3 linked regions of the Alligator mississippiensis genome follow. The main gene of each other region encodes a partner of the protein of the gene in region 3 in a complex. Links are inferred from orthologs where the notes say so. Each region holds a gene or a part of one and is shown on either strand. Other genes may lie near its edges.

What was found.
Region 1: PPP4R1 (region 3) and PPP4R3A share a complex: the UniProt entries of both Homo sapiens proteins name them as parts of the PP4 complex. The link is inferred for Alligator mississippiensis from reciprocal best matches to the Homo sapiens genes PPP4R1 and PPP4R3A.
Region 2: PPP4R1 (region 3) and PPP4R2 share a complex: the UniProt entries of both Homo sapiens proteins name them as parts of the PP4 complex. The link is inferred for Alligator mississippiensis from reciprocal best matches to the Homo sapiens genes PPP4R1 and PPP4R2.

Annotation. Positions count from the first base shown.
Region 1 is NC_081825.1:274,845,449-274,852,991, reverse strand, and holds the start of PPP4R3A (serine/threonine-protein phosphatase 4 regulatory subunit 3A), read left to right. Parts: upstream 1-4,468; 5' UTR 4,469-5,129; coding exon 5,130-5,271; intron 5,272-7,543. UniProt on the Homo sapiens protein: Regulatory subunit of serine/threonine-protein phosphatase 4. May regulate the activity of PPP4C at centrosomal microtubule organizing centers.
Region 2 is NC_081835.1:7,973,919-7,981,191, reverse strand, and holds the start of PPP4R2 (serine/threonine-protein phosphatase 4 regulatory subunit 2), read right to left. Parts: upstream 3,089-7,273; 5' UTR 3,000-3,088; coding exon 2,966-2,999; intron 2,868-2,965; coding exon 2,786-2,867; intron 1-2,785. UniProt on the Homo sapiens protein: Regulatory subunit of serine/threonine-protein phosphatase 4 (PP4). May regulate the activity of PPP4C at centrosomal microtubule organizing centers.
Region 3 is NC_081826.1:95,278,730-95,286,814, forward strand, and holds the start of PPP4R1 (serine/threonine-protein phosphatase 4 regulatory subunit 1), read right to left. Parts: upstream 3,041-8,085; 5' UTR 2,818-3,040; coding exon 2,811-2,817; intron 2,676-2,810; coding exon 2,631-2,675; intron 2,488-2,630; exon of another isoform or gene 2,420-2,487; intron 1-2,419. UniProt on the Homo sapiens protein: Regulatory subunit of serine/threonine-protein phosphatase 4. May play a role in regulation of cell division in renal glomeruli. The PPP4C-PPP4R1 PP4 complex may play a role in dephosphorylation and regulation of HDAC3.

The sequences.
Region 1 (7,543 bases), on a different chromosome or scaffold from region 3:
GGGCTGACAGATGCCATCCAGCAACCACCAAGGGGGATGTCTCACGAGGTCAATTACCCCTGGATTGGGTTAGCCCGAAAATTGGGGAGTCACCAAAGTCTGCCAGAGAGGGATAAAAGGCAGCAAAGAATGATCCCCCAATGGCGCCCTTTCTGACCTGACCAGCACCCTGCCTGCCCAGCCAGAAGGACCAGCCAGCAACCCCCTTCTGAAGCAACATCACACTGAAAGAACCCTCGACTGGCCATCGACAGCAGACTCTAGCACTTGGGGATAGGTATATCTTGACATCGGTGCTTAGTGTTCATAGCTAGCTACTGTGAGTAGGTGTGCATGAATGTGTGTGTCTGAGGGGATCAGCCCCAAGGTTTATGATCTGACTTTTGCATCCGTCTAATAAACTAGAATTCTATGATGATCCTGTGAGTTGGTCCTTTGTCGCCAACAGCTCTACCCCAAAGTTTAGTGTCATCGGCGAACCTGGCCAGTCCACTTCTGACACCAGTGTCCACATCGTTAATAAAGACATTAAAGAGAACAGGTCAAAGAATGGAGCCTTTAGGGACACCACTGGTCACAGAGTGCCATAATGATTCACTTCGTCAACTACCACTCTCTGGGTCCAGCCTCAGAGCCAATTCCCCAGCCATTGGACTGTGATGTAGCTGAGGCCACAGTTGGTCAATTTTTCTATGAAGAGATTATGGGACACCAGATCAAAGGCTTTTTTAAAGCCTTACATCAGGGGTGTCCAACCTCTTTGAATGTGGGGCCCGATCATGAACTTTTTATCACCTAGTGGGCTGGTGAGCCATATTCAAAAACCTCACAGGAAGCGGTATCACATCAGGAAGTGATGTCATGTGACCTTTGACATCAATTAAGTTGCAGGAAGTGACAATGAAATGGGTCTAACCAGTTCAAAACTCTCCCTCTATAGCATCCACCTCTGCCACTGTTTGGGACAGGATACTGAGCTAGATGGACCATTGGGCTGGACAAGCATGGCACTTTTTATGCTCTTCTGTTCTTTGGCTGAGCTTCCAAAATATGGCTGAGATTTGTAAAAAGGGGTAGATAGACATGTTACAAAGTTGTCATAAAAGATTTGAAGCCCTCTAAATTCCATTCATTTTAATGGAAGTTGACCTTTTGATTCAGCTTTGAAAATCTCAGCCCAAGGTGCCAACCAAATAAGTCAAAATATATTTTGCATTTCTATGCAGTGCATCTATGTGGGGCTCTCCAAGCATTTTACAAACATTATATTAACCTCAGGATATCCCTGTTTTTCAGAAGAAATGTGATGGTGAGGACATTTTGGGAACATCTCTCACTCTCTGTGTGATCTGCTTCTACTATCCTTGGACCACCCTAGAAGGGCCCTCACTACCTCATTTCCAGTTCAAAGCAGGTAAAAGTGTAAGTGGGTAGGAAGGGTTTATATTTTGGCAGCAGGTTTGAGTGGCTTGAAGCTAGTGAAGATGTACCCACAATTAGTCACTGACCAGAGTGGGAATACAGTTGTCCTCACTTATTAACATGGCTCCAAGGCCCGGCACTGTTTGTGCCTACATGTTGCTCTCATGTCCTCTTGCTTTCCTAAATCTCATGAGAGTAGAGGATTCCCATCATGCCTCCTGGACTGCCGTCACCCAATAGCTGTCCTAGTTTTAAGGTTGTGCTTCTGACTCTTTCATGGCTTCTTTTAGGGTGCACACTTAGAACTCTGCCTTTTCCTTCCCACCCATTTTGCTGAATTGTGATTATTCCTATGGGGCATGAATTTAGTCCAGTGGCTATGATTCTGCTTTCTCATACAGAGGTAATGACTCTCACAAAGCATGGCATATTTTAGTAGGATAAAAACATTTTGAAGGCCATACAGAAAACAATAAGCAGTTTTTACTCACATGAGCTTACCAGGTATCAACCACCTGCTACTTGGGTTCCTGGCAGATACAGACACAAGTTTATTAGCACATTGTTCCAGAGTGAGTCTCTGTGCCATAGCCTACATCAAGTCTCAGATCTAGGGAGCCTGACCCCTCCCCAGCCATAGGCTGGTCATGTAATACCAATCTGCTGGCCGGTGCAGACCCGGCTGGGCTCCTCCCATCCTCAGAAGCATGTGGGAAGCCAGCTTCAGCTGCATGCCACTTTTCCTGGCTAGTGCTGACCCAGCTGGGTCCGTCCCATCTGGAGCAGCACACGGCTGAAGTCGGCTTCTCACAAGCTGCTGGGGCTGGGAGGAGGCCGGCCAGGTCTGCACTGGCCAGCAGAAGCGGTGGCGGAGCTGTGTGCCACTTGGGACTGACTTGGTGCAGGCAGGGGGAAAATGCAGCTGAGCCCCTGCTGCTCCGGCCGGGCTCATCCCATCCTGAGAGGCACACGGCTCTGCCACCACTTCTGCTGGCCGGTGCAGACCCGGCTGGGCTCCTCCCGTCCCCAGCAACATGTGGGAAGCCGGCTTCAGCTGCATGCTGCTTTTCCTGGCTAGTGCAGACCCAGCCGGGTCCATCCCATGCAGAGTATGTTGGACAAGCCTGCCTTAAGTCACCCTTGTTTTAGCAGAGTTTTTCAGATTGAAGCCCATGGGACTGTTTTCTTCTTCCTTCTTTCTAATTCTAAATGTAGTTTTAGCCAAATATGACACAGCTAATAAAAAGCTGCTTGGAGCAAGGGAAAAGAATGGCTAGAGACCACCCCTGCTTACCTAATATGCTCTCAGATGCACTTTGCTATGCTTGCAGTGACTGCCAAAATATTTTTAAATGCCCAACTACAGTGTCAAGCATACAAAAGAGACCTTAAAACTTTCACTTAAGTTGGCTGATTTTGTATAACAAGGGAAGACCATTCATACAAAGTAGTATCTCCCTACCATTCCCCAAAGTAGTATCACACTATGTGGCCAGAAGACAGGAGGACTTTCCTATGTCTCGGGCCCAAACCTGTGCTTTTCAAAAACAAACAAACACAACAAACTCCAACCAACCAACCAACCAACAAACACTTTCAGACCATTGCATACAGCAGTCAAGGAAACAGTTGCATACAGTTTCAGCCATGCCCTGGCTGAAGTCCCACTCTTCAGAGTTTGTGCCGGTGGCAAGGTATGATTTTACCATCTTTGTTAAATGTTCTCATTTTCATTAGGTAGATAAATACATATTCACAGCCAGTTGTCTCATGGTCACTGCTGAGGCCCAGAAGTAGGTCCCAAATAAATGCCCACAGTTGAACACAACTAAACTGTGGAGGAGTTCAGAATTGGTTATTGATTTTGTGATTAGCCACAATCTCTCTTAGTGGGGTATAGCAAAAAATTGAAGATGGGGAAAGAAAAGAGTTAGCTGGAGAGAGACCTTACCAGGGTGGGGTTGTAGCACACTAGGCTTAGCAAAATTTATTCTTATAAAAAAATGTCAATGTCCACTGAACAAAAAAATCAAAGATTTAATCCTCTGAATTAAGTGCCTTTTGCAATGGACCTCTGTATGCAGCGGAAGGATAGGAAGGTCCCAGAGACACCAGTGAGGTTGCCTACTTTTTCAATTTTGGTGGAGTCTTTAAGGAAAAATCTGTCAAGCATATGCTCTGATGTTGGCAGCAGCAGCAGCTTCTGTTTGTTACTGCAGCTGGTGAGACGCATCTCAGTCTGTTCAGTATAGTCCAGAAGCCGTGTAACTTTTGCACTGCTTAGCCATGAATGAGCCTAATAGAAAGGATGCTTTTGCAGAAGGATTACTTCATCTGCATTGGACAAAACAGAAGCAACCCAACATCTGAAGCTGGGCCTTAAGCATGATCTATCTATGTAAGCGGGAGGAAGGAAGGGAAAAAAGAAGCTTCTTAGAGCACAGGCTTCTTTGCCAGCTGGGCGTCTGCTAGGACTGCCTGACCACAACCTCAGCCCCCCACTCTGCTCCTACACAGGCAGTTTCAGGAGCACCAAGGCATGGTTTTGCCATCTCCGGTTGGCTCCTTCCCCTCAGATGAGCTGTAGGCCTGTCTCTGCCACTCTGGGGGCAGATCTTGGTACCCCCAAGCTGCTCCTTACGGCTGCAGTTCCTGGCTCTAGCAGCTTGCTATTGACCCACAAGGGCAGCTCTGGAAACACAACCCAGGTGTTTTCTCACCCCGAGCAGCTTCGTTCCCAGAGTACACTTCAAAGCCCTGACCCACCGGGCGGCTGGGAGCCACCTGGGCCGTGCCCCCTATGCCATCCCACCTGGCCGAGCCCCCACGTGCCAGAGGTGGCCACGCGAGGCAGCCCTGCGGCTGAGGGGAAAGCGCCGCGAGGTGGGGCTGCCCCGGCCTGGCACTGCGGGCTGGGTGTGCACGGCTGGGGGGCTGAGGTGAGGCGCTGCCCCGGCACGTGCCGCAGCGCCGACACCTCCCGCCCGCGAGTGCGCTGCCCCTTTAAGCGGCGACGGCCCGTGCCGCCGCTGGCTGGGAGACCCCGCGCTGTAGTGAGCGGTGAGACCAAGATGGCGGCCGCGCAGTGACTGAGGCGGAGACGGACAGGCCGCGCCGCGCCCCCGCCCGCCGACAGGACCGGATCGGACCCGACCTGACCCGACAGGACCGGACGGGAGGGGGCCGGGGCCGGGGCCGGGTCGGGCCGCCCGCCCGCAACGCAGCGAGCCCGCGGAGCCAGGCCGCAGCAGCAGTAGCCGCCGCCGGCGGAGGAAGGAGAACATGGCGGCGGAGCCGGGCCAGGAGTGAAGCCGCCGCCTGCGAGCGGAGCCCATGGGGCGGGCTGGGCGCTGAGGCCGCCGCCGCCGGGCCGAGCAGGGGGAGAGGCCGCGCCGGCCCCGCGCTGCGAGCGGGGCAGGAGCGAGCGAGCGAGCGGCGGGGCCGTGGCCGTGGCCGGGGCCGGGCAGCTCCGCACAATAGAGCCGGGCCGCCGCCGATGTCCCTCTGACGCCACTCGTGCTCCCTGCCCTTGACCGGGCTGCGCCCCCTCGGCCCGCCCGGGCCATGCGAGCCGCGGCCTGAGGAGCGCCGGCCGCTGCGTGGGGCCCTGCCCGCTGCCGCCGCCGCCGCCTCCCGTGCGGGCCGCCCCCTCCTCCTGTCTCTCCAGGTGTCCCAGGCCGGGCGGCTGCGGCGCGGCCGGCGGCAGGATGACTGACACCCGGCGGAGGGTGAAGGTTTACACGCTGAACGAGGACCGGCAGTGGGATGACCGGGGCACCGGGCATGTGTCCTCTGGCTACGTGGAGAGGCTGAAGGGCATGTCCCTGCTTGTCAGGGCAGAGAGCGATGGTAAGTGTCTGAGGTTGCGGCGCTTCCTTGCTGAAAGCAGCTGGGGCTTGGCTTTCTGTAGTGAGCCTGGCCCCTGCCCTTCATCTGGGATCCCTGAACCAGCCAGGTAACAGCTCTGGGTCACTCCTGTTAGGCGCGGGGATAGGGCTGGAGATTGGCGCCTTGCACAAACATTGTAGTACGCGTGGTGTTTACACTGGATACGCGGGCACTGGCCTGCCTGCCAAATACGCTCCGTTCTGGTTGCAGGCTGCAAACCAGGCTGTCTTCTGCCTTTGCCTGTGGGATTGGCTTTGTGGGAAATGTTTCCCTGGATCCTTTCTGAAAATGATGACAGGCTTCCCCTGATGGAAGGAACTGTTCAGAGTTTTATTAGTGTCTTTATATCTGTTCTGTAGGCTTAAAATGCAAACGCGCATCTTGTGCCAGATCCACACATGCTGTAGCATTGCTGGTTTCAAGGCAGTACAAAAACACCTTTTGGGTATCTTCCCCCCCCCCCCCCCCTTGGACTAGCCACAGCGCTCAACACTCACCAAAACTGATTTTGAGTTGCTGCATAATGCTTCATTTTAAGGGAATTTATGAATTTATTACCCATTTGCCAGGCACTCCAAACATGTTTCTCTAGAGCACTGTGTGTAGGTTTTATGTAAGAATTATCCATGGCTATTGGATCAACAAGTTAATGGTTGTTGTGGTTACTACAGATTTTATTTTAAAATACATCTTGCTTCATGTTAATAGTGGTACGGAGCAGCAAAGAAGATAGATTTAACTGGTTAAACCTCAAGTTTATAGTTGTGAGAGCCTTCTGTCCTGTGGACCATCTTGCAGACTGCTGTTGGTTGCAGGCAGCAACCAAACTGAAATTAAAGCTAGACAACTTCAGTGAGGTCACAGATTTCAGCCAGTGGAGGGAAAGGTCCTGAGAACCTTCACTATTATGCTAACTCATGACATCCTCTAGTGAAGGACTTTAAACTTAGGAAACTAATAATCAAAACCCTTCCTGATTGATTCAGTTAATGATAATTTAGCAGTTTAGAGAATAACAAACTACACAAAAGCTGGATGTATATATATAAAATAGGTTTTTACCAAATCATTTCAAGACTGTCCTCTATTAGCCCTTATGAAATAAGACAGACATTCAAGATTGGAACAGACTTCCACTGTTGAATCTCAGTACCAGAGTTGAGAGGTAGAGGGAGGAAACCATTAGTGGTGTATCTAAAACCTGGCTTACTTTTGTGTTTATTTAGCATCTTTATAATGGATATAATTATAGCACATTCTGTCTCCATGACTGCTGTTGAAGACCCTTAATAAATAAGTAGAATAAAACTGAAACGCCTCACAAAGGAAACTGAAACATAGAGTTAAATATATAAAATGGAGTGGGCTGAATTTGAAGCGTCAACAGAGCCTGTTTTAAAGTATTGTCTTTGCGTTGATTTCAGTAGAATTTGTGTGTTGTCTCAAGGCAGAATTGAACCTAAATAACATTCAAGTTGGTAGTTTTTTTGCTGTAATTTTAAAGTGGGAGTGAGATGAAGTATTTTAAATAATGTTTTAATGTTTATTTTAGCATGACTAAATACCCATTTATATACGTTATATTTTCAAAAAAATATGTAACTGTCCAACTGAAAGTGTTCAAACTTGTTGCTTTCAGTTACAGTAGTCTTATTTAATGAGATGTCACACCTGTTGTACCTTTTACAGTATATGCAGTTTGTTATTGGGTAATGAAATCCTCTGCACAAAGTGTTTGTGGCTAATACCAGTAGGACTTTGGTAACTGTTACTTTTTTTCCCACAGTTTACCATATCAGACAAGACCAGAACTTTACAAATGCATCTTCTTTCCAAAAATAAGCTACTGGAAATTGGGGTGGAAAATGGAGGGAGCAGAGGGTCCAGTCCTCTGGGAGCTGAACTGGTCTTCCCTTCCCTTCTTGTTGACCTGTCCAGTAAGCCAAACTGGCTGACCATTAATTCTCAAGCCGGGTGGGCAGCCAGCAGTACCTGCTATGTCCCACAGCTAGGGGGTTAACAGAGCAGTCATAGCTTTTTGCTTCTCCTTCCCCTGTCACTGCAGGTGTCTGTTTTCATTGGGGAAAAAAATACCCTATGTGTATTTTCAAGGAAAGATTTTTCTTTTTCTTTCCATTTCTACCCCTTCTCTTTCTCCCCCTCACCCACCCCATTCATCTCAAGAAAAGGTGTGTCCTGTTCCCGGGAGGGCATGTGATACCCAAGAAAATAC
Region 2 (7,273 bases), on a different chromosome or scaffold from region 3:
TTTATTGCCTGAAACTAAGCGGGCAAGACAACAGGGTTTCTCCCCACTACAAATTCATAGTGGTGTAGTTTAAAGCCAATGTGTGACAAAAAACAATTACGCAACTTTACAACACTTAATGCAGACTGGATTTTTGAATCGCACAGATAATATCTTACAAATAGCATGATATTAGGAAACAACTTTTAGTCAGTGCTGTCATAATTCTTGTTTAGCAAGTCTAAGAAGTTATTTTACATGGCTCCATGCTGCCTAAGTTAAAGATAGGCTGTCATCTTACGCATGCTTTAAGCGTATGTTTAACTCTGCTTATGTGAACAGTCTCAGACATAAATGAGTAAAATTACACTTGTCTCACTGTTTACAGGATCCAGCATCTACAGCAAAATGTGGAGAACAAAACCAAGTTAATACTTTTATTTCTTGGCTTTGCTGTACCTAAAAAGTATTTTAGATACTAGCACAGTTTCACACGCACAATCCAAGGAAGTCATCCAGGTGAACAGTACCATCAAATCAAATGGCAACTGCCCTTATTTGCATGAAACGGTGACTGCAGGCTATAAAATAGCGTGATATCATTTCTCTGAATTTTGAGATCTTTTTGATTAACTTGTGTTTGCAAACTGAAATTAAATATATATTAGCTAAATAAATCATTTGGCAGATCAAATACGATTGCCACAAAAGAACTGTTTGGGGTTTTTTGGGTTTGGGTTTTTTTGGGGGGGAGTGAGGGGAGGGAATCTTATTATGTAAGCCACAGTCACTCACTCTGAAACTAGAAATCTGACCTAAGACAAGACTGAAAGCAAAAATTATTTTGCTTTGTTCCACTGTACGTAAATCTGTCTTCCAACATCAAGCTAGTCTGGTTCCCATAAAGCCAAAGATGGCTGCTACCTGTTCACCTGATTCCAATAATTTTGCACTAATATTACACTTTCTAAAAATGGAAATATGTATAAATAGTTGCTGAAGTCAAATGCTCAATCTTCTGAAAAGAAATCTTAAGGCAGTTTCCTTTAATTTAAAAAAAAGAAGAGTACTTAACTTATCAGGAATCAATGTTTATAAAATTCACACACATTTAAAAACAATTTTGCAACAACATTTTCATAATGGAATGTAAAAATCTAGAACTCTTGGTTCAGAGATGATACCTTTTATTAGACCAATTGAGAAATTGCAACAAAGATTTTTTTTTTTTTTTTTTTTTGCAATTTCTCAGTTGGTCTAATAAAAGGTATCATTTCTGAAGCAAGAATTCTAGATTTTTGCATTTCTTTTAGTCTCAGACCAACACGGTTACCAAATCCATCCCTGAAACATTTTCATACTGGAGCACTTAGTGACAGCTCCTTTCCACTAGAAAGGCTTAGGCCTACATTCTACACACGTCTCCTAGTCTTGTGATAATATATTTTACCAAACAGATGATGATTTTCTATTTTAAAGATAACACGCGTTTTCTCTAAATTAAAATATGCTATAAGTGAACTAAACGAAGTAGCAGATACATAATCTAGATTTTGATGGCTCATGGGAACAAAACTGAGTGTAATGATAGAGACAGACTATGTGCATTCCCATAATTTGCCTTGTTTGTGGACAAAGGAAAACACCAGAGACTGGCTGCATTTTTAGCAATGTGTCACTTTTCTTAAAAATAGCTTAGGACAATTGAAGTATCTGAGGCTTAAAAAAAACCAAAACAAAAAACCCCAAAACAGGCAAAATAGATAATGCACATTCTAAGAATGAATAGAAACAAAATGTTCATCAAGTCTGAAAGACGTTTAGGTTCTTATGCAACATCAAGGTCTTTATTTGTATAATTTAATAGGAAGTTTATCCACATATTTCCAAAAGGGCGATGCAAACAAACACTAACAGTACAGTTACAATGCATCACCCTGCTACCATCATTAGCATTTACTTAACAAGCAGCTCCTATACAACTTGTTATGCTTGGATTGTTTCAGGAGAGAGGCACAGGCAAGAAAAACAAAAACCTCCAGGACAATTTCAGAAAAAAAAAAGAAAAAAAGCAGAAATTAGCCTATCCAAAGAGGAAACTGTTGTATGCAAAACTAGCGTTTCACCTAAAAACAATACGTATAAAGAGCTAGTGGGCACACATACGAGCGTTAAGCTGGGGCTTTTTCTGCTGAGCTGACGCCTTTGGCTCAAAGAGCAAAGTACACACATCTCAAAACTTCGGGTTTTCCTTCGAGGCCGCCGATTTGAGTTACATAAAGCAAGAACAAAAGAGCCAGATGTCTTTTAAAGCTAGATACGCTCTATAAAAACCCGGACAAAGCCAAAACGCCGCTCGAGCCCGGACCCCGGCGCTAGGCCTCATAAAGCCAGGAGGCAGCCCGGGAGCCAGAAAGTGAGCGCCTGGCCGGCCGGGCGCCGGGGCGAAGCCTTGCCCCTTCCTGCCAAATTGTGAGACGACAAGGAAGTCGCGGCGGAGCAGCCCGGCTCCCTCGCAGCCCCCTTCCCGGGGGGGAGGGAAGCTTGAAGCAAAACCCTAGAAGAGGGCACGCCGACCGCCCCTAAAGCGGCTGCTTGGCCCCCAGGAGCTGTGAGCTGGCCACGGTGTGCCCGTGGGGAGCAGCCGTGGGCTGGCGGGACACACCAGGAAGCCCACGGAGACCGGGGGGGGGGGGGGGAATGAACGCCCTGAGGAAGTTTGTCCCTCGGCGGCCGCCGTCCACGCGCTTGACAGGCCCTGAGGGGACGCCTCCCCCCCCCCCCGCGACCCCCGCCCGCCACTCACAGCGTCTCGCCGGTCTTGGCCACATGGCAGAGCAGCTGGTCCAGCACCGGGCACGCCTCCTTCTTGCCCCGCTTCTCGAAGTCTGCGGCGCGGCCGGGAGGAGACAGAAACACACGGTGAGAGCCCGGCCCGGCCGCGTCGTCCCTCCTCCCCCACCCCGGGGCGCTCCCTCAGCCCCACCTTTGAGCGCCTCCTGCAGCCGCTCGAGGTCCATGGTCCGCCCGCGTCCCCCCCCCCGGCTCGCCGCCGCCGCCGCAGCGCACACCCAGCCCCGGGCTCAGCGGCCTCCCAACATGGCGCCGGGCCGCCGCCGCCGCCGTGCGCGCGCCCGGCCCCGCCCCGCCCCCGCCGCCGCCGCGCTGAGGGGCGGGGCTACGTCTCCGGGGCCCTCGCGCGCGGCTGGGGCGGGGCTTGGGGCGGGGCTGCCCCGCCCACCTCGCGCGTCTCCTCGAGGGGGCGGGGCCTCCATTGTCCGTGGGGCGGGGCCTGCTCCCTCCCTCGCAGGGACGCCGGGGGCTCGGGCCGGCACTGGGTGTGCGCAGGGGCACGCGGGAATGCGAGACACACGGGCTCGCTTCCTACGTCCGCGAATGCATCGTCCGAAATACATCCCCAAATACACCCCGGAATATACCCCAAATACATTCCCCAATGCATCCCCAAAATACACAAATACACCCCCAAATACGTCCTTGAATACCCCCCCAAATGCAGCCCTGAATGCATCCTCAAATACATCCCCTAAATACACAACTACACCCCCGAAACAAATATACCCCAAATACATCCTCAAATGTACCCCCAAATGCATCCCCAAATACACCCCAATACGTCCTCGAATATACCCCCAAATACATGAATACACCCCCAAATGCAGCCCTGAATGCATCCCCCAAATACACAAATACACCTGCAAAACAAATATACCCCAAATATATCCCCAAATGCATCCCCAAATACATCCCCTAAATACAAATACACCCCTGAAACAAATATACCCCAAATACATCCTCAAATGTACCCCCAAATGCATCCCCAAATACATCCCCAAATACACCCCTGAATGCACCCCCCAAATACATCCCCGAGCACACCCCTGAATACATCCCCAGGCTCACTTCAGCATTTGGCCTCGGGGAGGCTGAGCGCGGCGCACTTCAGGGCTGTTTGAAATAAGGACATTGACACGAGTTTAAAAAACAAAACAAAAACCCTATTTTCACATATTTCCTTTCCTGCTAAGGGAGCGGGCTAGATGCTTCCAGTCTGGGGTCCCAGAGAGCGCCCTCTCTGGCTGGCACCATCACGTGAAGGGAAGGGGGCAGGCCGGCAGCCCCCATGGCAGAAGGCATCCCACCTGGTTTGCAACTGGGGAACAGCAACAGGCTTCCAAAAGCAGCTCAGGAAACACCTCAATAAGCCTTAAACCAGCCACTGTGTTTCCCCTATGTGCAAAAGCCTACACAGGGCAAACGCTGTGGACCTCTGCCCTCTCCTCCCAGCTTCCCTGGCTGGGGTCCCAGAACCAGCAAGGACCTGAACGGGGCAAAGAGCAAGGCCTGTGATGAAGCAGAGGCCTGAGGTTTAGGAGAATCCAAGTCCCCGGGACCCGCAGGTTTCAGGCGGCCAATTGCAAAGCGGAGACTTATCCGCTGCGAATGTTTCTGTAGAATGAAAGCGCCCATGACGATCGTTTCTGGAAGGACATGAAAATGCTCGTAAAAGTTAAGCTGTAAATCCAAATATTGCCGCCAACTGTTATTCTAGGCATATGGGAGCTGCACATACGCGGTAATTTACTATTAGGGGAAAATCCCGATATAGGCCTGGATCACGTCCCAGTCTTCTGAGGTCTGTGCCTCCAGGCAATCCTGCACGCACACACTTCTGTTCTTTTTTGTAGTGGGGAGAACTGGAGTGGGATGACAGGGGCAGCTGCCCCAACCCCAGCTTGTGGGGCAGGGTGGAAAACAACAGTTCCCGCCAATCATGTTAGCAATGTGGCAACTACTGGAAGTTGCCATAGCCCCTGCATGTTGCAGCTGCCCTGGGCGCTCAGCTGCATGGTTAGGTTGCTGCTATACAGGGGAGGAGGGTCACCTGCCTCTGTTGCATCAGCACTCCCTATTGCCCCTTCCCCCTTTCTGAACCCGCTTTGAAGCCCATGCTCTGGCAGGATGTGGACTCTGTACATAGTACACACACAAAAAAGAATAGGTGGGCTTAGGCCTGGCCAGAACTGATGCAGTGTCCAGACTTCAGTCCCGTGCAGAGCTCCTGTAAAAGATGATAAAAGAAAAGCCTGTAAAAGACTGCACAGTCTAATGCAAAGTGGACAACGTTGTAGAGAAATGCCAGTAGAGCTACACTGCAGAGGAGCTAGTGCGGTAGCATAGGGGATTGTCCAGGTTGTATCAGCTAGCCTCTTAGCTTATTTTATAAGAGCAAGCAAATTTAATCCTCCTGGCAGAATAAAAGGGAATTTATGACTATGGAGTCCTCCCATTCTCCTTGCGTGTTTGCCCCTGGAGAAGATAATCCAAGCTGTGGAGCAGCAATTCCAAAACTAGTGATTGCGACCCCAAATGCAGTTCCAGCATTTAAAGAGTTGGGTTATAAGCCCCACAAATATTCAATTATGGCAATTAAATTCATGCTGGAAACCAGGTTAAGAGCTGACCAGAAGTGTGGTTGTGACATAAAAGGCCAGAAACTGATGGTGTAGAGCTTAGCAGTATCTTTAGACATGATTTTCCTATGGAGAAAATCTGAAGATTTATTTTAGAATCAAGTTGTTTCTACAACCGAGAGCCTGGGTTAAAACAGAAAAAAATAAACTTGTTTCCGAGATACAAGGAGCTAGCGTTGAAACTATAGCAATATATCACTTTTCTAGTTTAAAGCATGTTCTAGACAATGAAGAACAGTAAGTATTTCTTTAAACTGCATTGTCTTCAGTCCTACAACCAAACAGAATTCATAACAATTTAGTTGGTAACAGAATGCTATAGCCTCAAATGCAGGTTTATTAAATATAGGTACTCACTTAACGTCGTCTGGTTAACGTTGTTTCGTTATTACGTCACTGATCTATTAGAGAACTTACTCGTTTAAAGTCGTGCAATGTTCAGTTATAATGTTGTTTGGCTGCCGCCTGCTAGTAGGTAACTACTGTGACATAATTGGATTCGCTTAACATGGTTTCTCTTAAAGTCGCATTTTTCAAGAATGTAACTACAATGTTAAGCGAGGAGTAGCTGTATTTCATTTCTGGGTGGAAGAATGCTATAAACTGGGATTGTGAAAAGTTACATTTGTCTTTTTGAAACTGGGAAACAAATTCTGGAGGTGAATGAAGAATTTTCTGTGTTGACTTTTCTCATTTAAAGACAAGATTTAATGCAAGATTTCTATGGTACCTGCATATGGAGACTGATCACTTTACATACATTTTAAATTAGTAAATTATACTATCAATTGCCCTTGCTCTGTAACAAGGATACTGTTACAAGGATACATTTTGGGGTAATGAAAGCTATCAGTGGCCACAGTTTGTCCTGTCTGCAGGATTTGACTGCTAGGAAAAGCCCATTTATACTTCTCTCACCCCAGTTCTATTTTCTGACTTCAAAGCAAGCTGATTTCTGACTTCCTCTCCAAGGGATATTTGAAAAAAATATCCCTTGGAGAGGAAAAGAAACAGGTCACACACACATCAGTTTCTTAGTCCTCTCCTACTTTGTTGCCCTCACCATATTCAGAGGTATCTGAATATAAGAAATCCCCATTTCAACTGGGATTGTCAGAAAAAAGACCTCTGCTTCTAAAGGTAGCAGAGCTTTCAGCTACTAAACAAGCAGCTTACTCACCCTGTTTCATACCCATCTTCCACTTTTATACCTGGTCAGAGCGGGCATAAAAGGCACAGAGATCAAATTATTAGCATTTTACCCTTTGCACAAGTGACTTTATAGAAAGGATAGTGAAGAACTGGGTTTCCTGTCATTGCAACTTGAAAAAGCATTCTATGCATTAAAATTAAACACACAATTAACAGTTGCAGCATCAGGTCCATTGCTGCCTCAGCCACATAGGGAATACCAAAGCTTTGAAAGTCAGGCAGAACTCCAAACATTGATTATAAATATATGTGACTTGGCACCAGTAGAAAATAAGGCATCAGGGCTTGCTGCTAGGACTATTCATTACACTACAGATTATGCATATGAATAAGGACTTGCCTGCATTCATTCGTGCCACGTACTCTGTAGCAAGTGTTCACATTAGAGTTAGAGCAGAGTAGTTAATGTAGTGTATGCTGATATTTTAATATGTGCCACCTCCTCTGGTGTGCAGACATACTTGTTTGCAGGATCAGGACCTACCGTCTGCACAGGAAAGTTGTTTTTTTTCAATATTATCTCAGGCATTCATTTAAAATAACAGTTAAACCAGTATAATTTCCACAATCTGTGTGGACAGGCTTAT
Region 3 (8,085 bases):
AGTATGTAGATGACTTTGATTTTTACCATAATTTTTTCCTTTCCATAATGTTCCATCTATTTTTGGGAGGCTAAGAACAAAGAATCAGACTGTGTGTGTGTAGGGCGGCTATAACATATATATGTTCTATCAGTAATCTCCTTTATTTATGTTCTGACTTTTACGTTCAAGGAAAATGTTACAAGGAAGACTAAGAGATATCTTTGCCCATTCATATAGAGCTGTTACACAAATTAAAGATATGCTATAAATCTGAAATCTGGTCAAACTGAATGAAAAGATAGTTAAGAAACCTTACAAGAGATAACTCTCTCATGCTAGTCCACCATGAAAAATCTGAACACAGGATACAAGGCTGAAACACTGGATCACTATCACTGAAGTGGGGGAATGCTGCTTAAAAGTGTTTGTTTTCACTTGAATTTTGACCAATTTAACAGATGAACTGCTATTAGTTTTAGATTCCTTAAAGACTATTTCAAACCAAACTAAAGCCACAATCTGCTCACAGGGAGACACCCCTTCGACCTGTCAATGGCTGGAAACAGACATCCTCTTTGGAGCACAGCTAATCCACTTCAGAGACATCTAACAGACACTGTCAGACCTGTCGCTGTCCACAGTCCATATCCTGCCACTCCCAGGGCTTCAAGGACCCAATCCTGGAAGAAACGAGCACTGAGTTCGGGTATGCATTTACAAGGGGGGAAGCCCCAACTTGTAAATTCGCCCCCATGTTGGGATGCAGGGGAGCCCTTCAGGAGGGGATTCCCCCAGCTTGTGTCTGCAAAGCATGGGGGGGAGAATTTCCCTGGTGTTCCCTCTTCTGGTTGCAGGGAGCACCCCAACCCAGGGGCACCAACAAAAAAAGGTACCAGGCACCAAGGCCATGTGCAAGAAGAGGGCAGAACTCCTAGAAATTCCCCTCTCCACATCTGCAGAGCTAGGGGCATAATACCCCCACTATAATGTGCAGGTAGGAGAAGCCCTTCACACTTGCACACATGCATCAGAGGTTATTCTGCCAGCCCACAGTCTCCTGCCATAAGTAAACAGATGTCACGCAAAAAGGCAGCACAAATTGTTAGTACCCTTGTTGGTGCCACAAAATTTAAGCACTTTTGGCCCAACAAAGGGCTATGATGTCTGTTCACTCAGTTCTCGTACCTCCATAAAGAATTTTATGGCGGCACATAGGCTGCAAACAGACACTGACTATCAGTCTCCAGATAGGAGCACAGGCATGCCTCAGCAGAGTGCAGGACTGACATCTAAAACAGAAGCCACATAAAAGAGCCATGTTTCTTCATCCCTACCTTATAGTTAGCATTTGATATCACCTTTGTTCTGTTTCCAGCTCTCCTCTATAGCTAGAATTTCAGAATACTTATTTATACGATGAGGTACTTTCTGTCACATCTAATACCACAAACTACCCGTCACTGCACAGAGTTTCTTTACCTAAAACGAACACCCTTTCTGTTGCTAATACAGAATTCTACATCCATCTTTCTACTATACTGCCACAACGCCAGATTCATTCTCCCTCATTGCAAGCATTTTCATTAACAAAGAAGAAAGCAATTTAAAGGGGGAAAAAAACCCTTCAGGGAGTAAAAAAAACACATCTTGGATGAGGTCACAGACACAACAGGCTTTCCTAGGGTTTCTCCTTGCTTGCTCCCTAGATCCTTTACACAAAGGTCCTCAGTTTCTGAATGGGGTCAGTCCTCTGCAAGTCTTAGCCTCATCCTAATCTCACCACGTCCTCATGCTGGCGTCAGGCTGTTACGGAGAACTGAATAACGCGGTTATCCTGGGCAAGTGCACGGGAAACAGACTCCAGCTTCCTCAGAGTTTAAGAGCCCAAGGAGCCTCATGCAACCAGCACAACCCACATGCCCAGCTGGTGAATCCCAAACACCCTGGCTCCTGCGGGGCAAGAAGGGGGGGGGGGGGGCAGCCACACCCACACAAACGGGGAGGGGCATGGGGGACACACGCCCATGCACACACACAGGGAGGGGTGTGGGGGACACGTGCACACATGCACGCACACACAGGTGTAGGGGACACGTGCGCACACGCAGAGGGGCATAGGGGACACGTGTATGCATACAGAGGAGACACACACCCATGCACACATACAGGAAGGGGCATAGGGGACACGCGTGCACACGCACGCACACACATGGAGACATAGGGGACACGTGCACACACAAACACAGAGGGGGTGTAGGGGACGTGCACACATGGGGAGGGGCGTAAGGGACACACCGCACACAAGGGGAGGCATGGGGACAGAGGGGCAGCTTCGGATGTACACACAGATATACACAGAGACGGGGAGCAGTTTAACCCACGGACACAGGGAGCAGCTTAAGACAGGCAGGGAGCAATGCAGGACATGGACACATACCACAACCTGGAGAGCGACACCCGTGCCCGCTGCTTCGCCAGGGTCGAGCCCTGCCCCTGCCCCGCCCGCACTCGTCCTCCGCCCCGCGCGCTTCCTCCGCGGCTGTCCGCGCCCCGCGCCCCGCGCTTCCGGCCCGCCCGCGGCTGCGTGCGTGCCTGCGTGCAGGGCGGGGCCGAAGCAGGCGCCGGGGTAAAGCCCGGGCCGTACTCACATGCGTCCACCTCCTCCTGCGCGTCCTCCTGCAGCAGCGACACATCTGCGGGGAGACGCGCACAATGTAGTGCCCGCCCGCGCTGCCCCCGTCCTCCCTCAGCCCCGCCCCACCCCGCCCGGCCTGGCCCGGCCCCCCAGGGCTCCCGGCTCTCCGAGGGGGGAGGGGGCCGGCACCTACCCGCCATCTTGCTGCGGCCCCCGCGGGACTCCGGCTGCCTCTCAGCAGCCGCGGCGGCGGCAGGGGGGGAGGGGCGGCCTTGCGAGCCTGCGGCTCTGTCTCCAGCTCCGGGCCCGGGCGGCGCCGGCGGGTGTCCCCGAGGGAGCCCCGAGCTCAGCCAGCTGCGGGGAGGGAGGGAAGGAGCGAGGGGGCTGGGCCGGACACGCTGCCCCCGCCTCCGCCTGGGAGCGGCGCACGGCGCTGCCGGCCCTCCCCGCCCCCGCCGGAGCCGCCTCCACCCCACCTCGCGGCGCCAACCGCCTCCCCGGCACCAACGTTCCCCCGCCCCCGGCGCCGTGTCGGCCCCGCTCGCCTCAGCCCGGCCCCCCGCGCCTGGTACTGCGCCCCTCTGCCGGCACTGGCCCTCCCTGCGCCCCGCGTTGGCACGGGGCTGGCTCCCACCCCCCTCCATCCCAGTGCCTCCCTGCCTCTCCCGCGGTGATGAGCAGGGATCCTGGTTTTCTCTCGTTTAAAAAAATTCCCACATTTTCTGATTAAAAAAAACAACTAAATTCTCCTTTTTCCCTTATTAAAATTAAACACAGGCACACACACATATATAATATGTATGTATTAAATATCACATTATATTATACATATACACACACACACACACACAGAGTACATACTTCCCGCCTGCCTGTGGCGCCACGGGACTGATTGCATGGGATCGTAGTATCTACTGTGTGTGTGTGTGTGCGTGTATAGTGGTTCACTTTTTCATCTAATGTGATACATAAAATATGTACATACATAAAATGTTATGTATCACATTTTTCCGTGATTAAAATGAAACACCACTAATATGCACACATATTAGTGGTGTTTCATTTTAATCACAGAAAAATGTGATAATATGATTGTCGCAGGGCACCTCGGTGCCCCTGCTCCTAGAGTGGAGAAACTGCCAGGGAGCAAGTGAGCGCGCCCTGGCCTGACATAACGAGCCCAGCTGAGGCTGCTCAGGTAATGAGCGCAGCTGCAGGTTGCCGGAGCAACCAAGCGGAGCCAGCTGCCTGTAGGGGGCAGGGCCTGGCCCTTATAAAGCTCAGGGCTGAGGCCAGGCTGGCAGTTCTCTGCCAGCAGCCAGGGAGGCAGGAGCTCCCTCAGCCGAGATATGGGAAGGAGCCTAAGTCGCAAGTACAGCTCATGATAGCCCTGGAGGTTTGAGCTATGATGAGGAGTTATGGCCATGCGGCTTGCATTTGTGTTACAGCCTAGGGGCTTGTGGTTTTGCTTTGTGTTTGTGTTATTACACCCGGAGGCTTGGGTGAGGCTGTAGGGGTTGGAGGAGGCCTCAACTATAGGGACCCCAGAGAGTGTGGGGTGCCCTAGCGCCAAGAGGGCGCATTATCTACACAGCGCCAGGGAAGGCGCAGCTCGCACGCCAGTATATGAGCAACTGGCGGCGAGGAGCGCGGCCAGTAGGTCGCGGGCGCGACCTGTAGGTTGCAGACGGGGACCTAGACCCCGGATTGCGTGTGGGGGAACATAGCCCCCTGTATAGCGCCAGGGAAGGCGCAGCTTGCACGCCACTGCACGAGCAGCTGGTGGCGAGGAGCGCGGCCAGTGGGTTGTGGGCGCAACCCGTAGGTTGCGGACGGGGACCAAGACCCTGGATTGCGTGTGGGGGAGCATAGCCCCCGGCCCCAGGAAAGGGGCGGTATTACTGAGGAGCCCAGTGTGGGCGTGGCGAGCCCCCAGAGAGGGGGAATGCCCTTGTACATTATTGAGTAGCCCAGTGCGGGCGTGGCGAGCCCCGGAGAGGGGGAACGCCATTGGGTTTTATTGAGTAGCCCAGTGTGGGCGCACGGGTATAGCGAGCCCGACCGCAGGCTAGTGCGGCAATACCCCTCAGACCAAGGCAGTGTGCTGCGGTTGCCCCTGAGAGGACAGGGAGTAGCAGCGCAGGGAGCCAGAGTCAGGGAGGGTGTCCGTGCAGTTGGCCCATAGGACCGGAGGCCCGCTAGAAAGTCCTGAAGCGGAACCACACTGGCAGGGGAGGCCCAGAGTGGGGAGGCCCAGAGTGGGCTAGACGGGAGTCCCAGCAAGAGGCTGGGCATGAGACAGGGAGCCCAGAGTGGGCCACATTAGAGAGGAGGCCTGGGAAGCGGGCATATAGACCGAACAACGTCCTTTACGTCTGCGAGGCTTGGGGCGTGGTATCAGGGGAGGTAGGAGCCACGCATAGCCCATAAGGCTAGGGCACTTGGGTAGCGCCCATTGTACGGGGAGACCCACGAGGGGTCCAGGAGCTGACAGGCCCGAGGTAACACAAGGCAGCCTCCCTATTACATATATTCCATCAAGACGTGGTGGGCGAGAATGGAGGGTGCCCTCGGGCTGGAGTAGCGCAGTGAGAGGGCCTCACAGAGATCACGGCCCTCCGTGAGGACCCGAGGGAGAGGGAGAGAGGGAGGGTTTTTTGTTTTAATCACAGAAAAATGTGGATTGGGGGGGGGGGGGGGGGTTGAGTCAGAAAATTTGGGATTTTTTTTTTTACTGGAGAAAACCAGAATCCCTGGTGATGAGGCTGAAGCTGGTTGGTTCTAGGGAACCAACTTCCCATCTCATCCCAAGACACAGGGTTTGGGGAGGTGGTGACCAGGGGGACTCACTAGGCTGGGGAAGCAGCGCTGTGCATTTGCAGTGCACTTGCGCCATGCTCCCGGGTGGATCCCGCCATTGTGATGTCACTCCCCAAGGAGCCAGCTCCTGGAGGTGATGGTTCCAAGGCTGGTGTCACTGTGCCATAGGGTGGGGTGGTCAGCTGATTTTTTTTTTTTTTTTTTTTTTTTTTTTTTCCCCTCTCCCCATAATCTAGAGCTTCTGGTGCCAATTTAAAAGCCACCTTGAAATGTCTTCAGTGCTGTTCCACTTTAGAGCAATTTGGGCTTGTGGGATTGCGGAAGCCCGGTGTCTAAACTGGTGGCTCTCAACCTTTTATAGTTTTGACGTGCCCCTCAGAAAATGCCAGCTCTTAGTTTTCACTCATTTTTTTGACTGCAGAAAAACAATAAAGCTATTTTTCTGTTGCAAAGAACTCAGAAAGCCCATAGCAGGTTGGAACGGGTTTAACACTGTGGATTCCTATTTGAAATCTCTGGGTTTATCTTGTGAATTGTGTTTGTGCAATTAACAGAAGTAATAACATTGTGTAGCACGCTTGAAAGGATATCAAGGCATGCCATTGTACCCTGACTGAGAATCACCGGTATAACGTCTAAACAACTTTTAATTCAAAAGGTTAAGAAGAGATTGGTTACCAAGCATGTCATGCCTGAGGCTTATTTCTGAACCTTTTTCCAACCCATTACAAAAGTATAATAAGGTATACCAAAACACTATGCATCCATTACCTTTTTATAATTCTTATAAAATTAATTTGCGTATTTTAATTTAAGCTTCTATAATTTGGAATTGCACTAAGAGCATTTGCTTTCGAAATTGGGCATTAGTAGTGTTTATTTTTTAATCATGGCATTTTTATGTCACTTTGGGGGGAAGTAGTCTACAGGGTATTTAGGAAATTTAATTTTTCTATAATGTATGTTTAAATAGGGGAGCTGCTATTTATGCAAGGAAACAATGTAGAATGACTGTTTTGAGAGATTTGTAATATGTTGTCCTGATTTTGGTACTCCTGTTAAGAGTACTGTTTCTGTTGCTATGTTCTGGATATACAATACAATGGGATGTTTTTACATTGCAAAGTTAATTACATTTTCAGTTTTTTTGCAACAAGTTACTTCAATAGGTATATGGCTCCTCATGTGCAACCAGCAGTAGATGTATTATTTATAGCCACTGTGACAAATTTATGCAACTAAGAGGGCAGGTAAGTGGGATATGATGTTGGTCTACATACCTTTTGCCTATTGGAAGTCCATGGGGTTTGCTGCATTTGACCTTTCATATAGCTGGAAGATCAAGGGCCCTCTTGAGCTTGTCCGTGACTCCTGAGAGGGTAGCATGGAGACAGGGGGAACAAACCACCAAGTTTGTCCAAAGGTTCTGAATGATTTAAGAGCTATGATGGATTTGATGCATCAGAATCTGACTGGAACCAAAGAGAATCGAAGTTTAGAGGGGGCCTTGGTTCCATATTATCACCAGGGAAGTGCCACAAAATACAGAATTAATGGGAGGCAACCATTTGAAATTGTAAAAAAGCAGAATGATGTGACCTAGCGTGGAGAAGCCTTGGAGGGTGTTCCCAAAATTGCAGCAATTCATTTTGGGGGCACTGTTTTCTCACATAATTCCCCCCAAATTGGATCAGTGTAGATTTGGGTACCCCATGATAGCCTGTCACAACAGTGTCCACTTCTGTAAATGAAAATACTGTATAACCAAAAATCTTGCTTCAGTAACACATGGAAAAGAGAGGAGGAGAAAAACTCACTTTTATCTGGAAATGTGCCACCATATGCTGCCAGCTTCTGCTTCCTGAATATGGATGTCCAGATGGCCCTATTTCTAAACTTTCTGGCTGCGATGAATGGGATGTCAGTCTAGATCTTCAGTCTTTCAAGGCCTGATCCACAGTCCACTTAAATATCTGATAACACTCCCACTGATCTCAATGGGCTCTGGCTCCAAATAAGGAAAGGAACAGAAAACTTAATGTGTATGACACATAAAATGGGTCTTGAGATATGTGATGAATTGCCAGTTTCAAAGATATTATTACTACAGAATGCCCTCCAGGGGGTGATTGCTTGGGACCACCTGGATTTTGTGTGGTCTCAGAGTGTATCCCAAAACCAGACCAGGTGTGGCCTCTAAAGCATGGGGGGAGCCCTGTCTCTCTCCCATTCTGAGACACTCCTGCTGACTTTTTGTTCCTTACCCTCCCATTTATGTCCATAACCCTGACTCAGAAACCTAGCTCCTGAGAGAGGGACTTTACCTCTTGTTGGGCAGACCAAATGCAACCCAAAGTTTATTTCCCTGTTTCCCCTAGACATCTGTAATCCTCACCTTTGTTAAAATGTCAGCAAAGCTATTTGAGTCTCTGTAGATGGATGCAATGGATGTGTCTTCTTTCATGTAGACCAAAAACTCCAGCTTCACTGTCTCTATAACCCATTTCCCCCACCTCCCCCCACCCTTCTCCCCTATGTTAGCTACAGGGAAACAGAGGCATGCAACACTGTTACAATACGAATACAGTTAACACAGAAATATTACAATGAACACCATAGTCCATCACAATTGCCATTTAAAAAAAAGT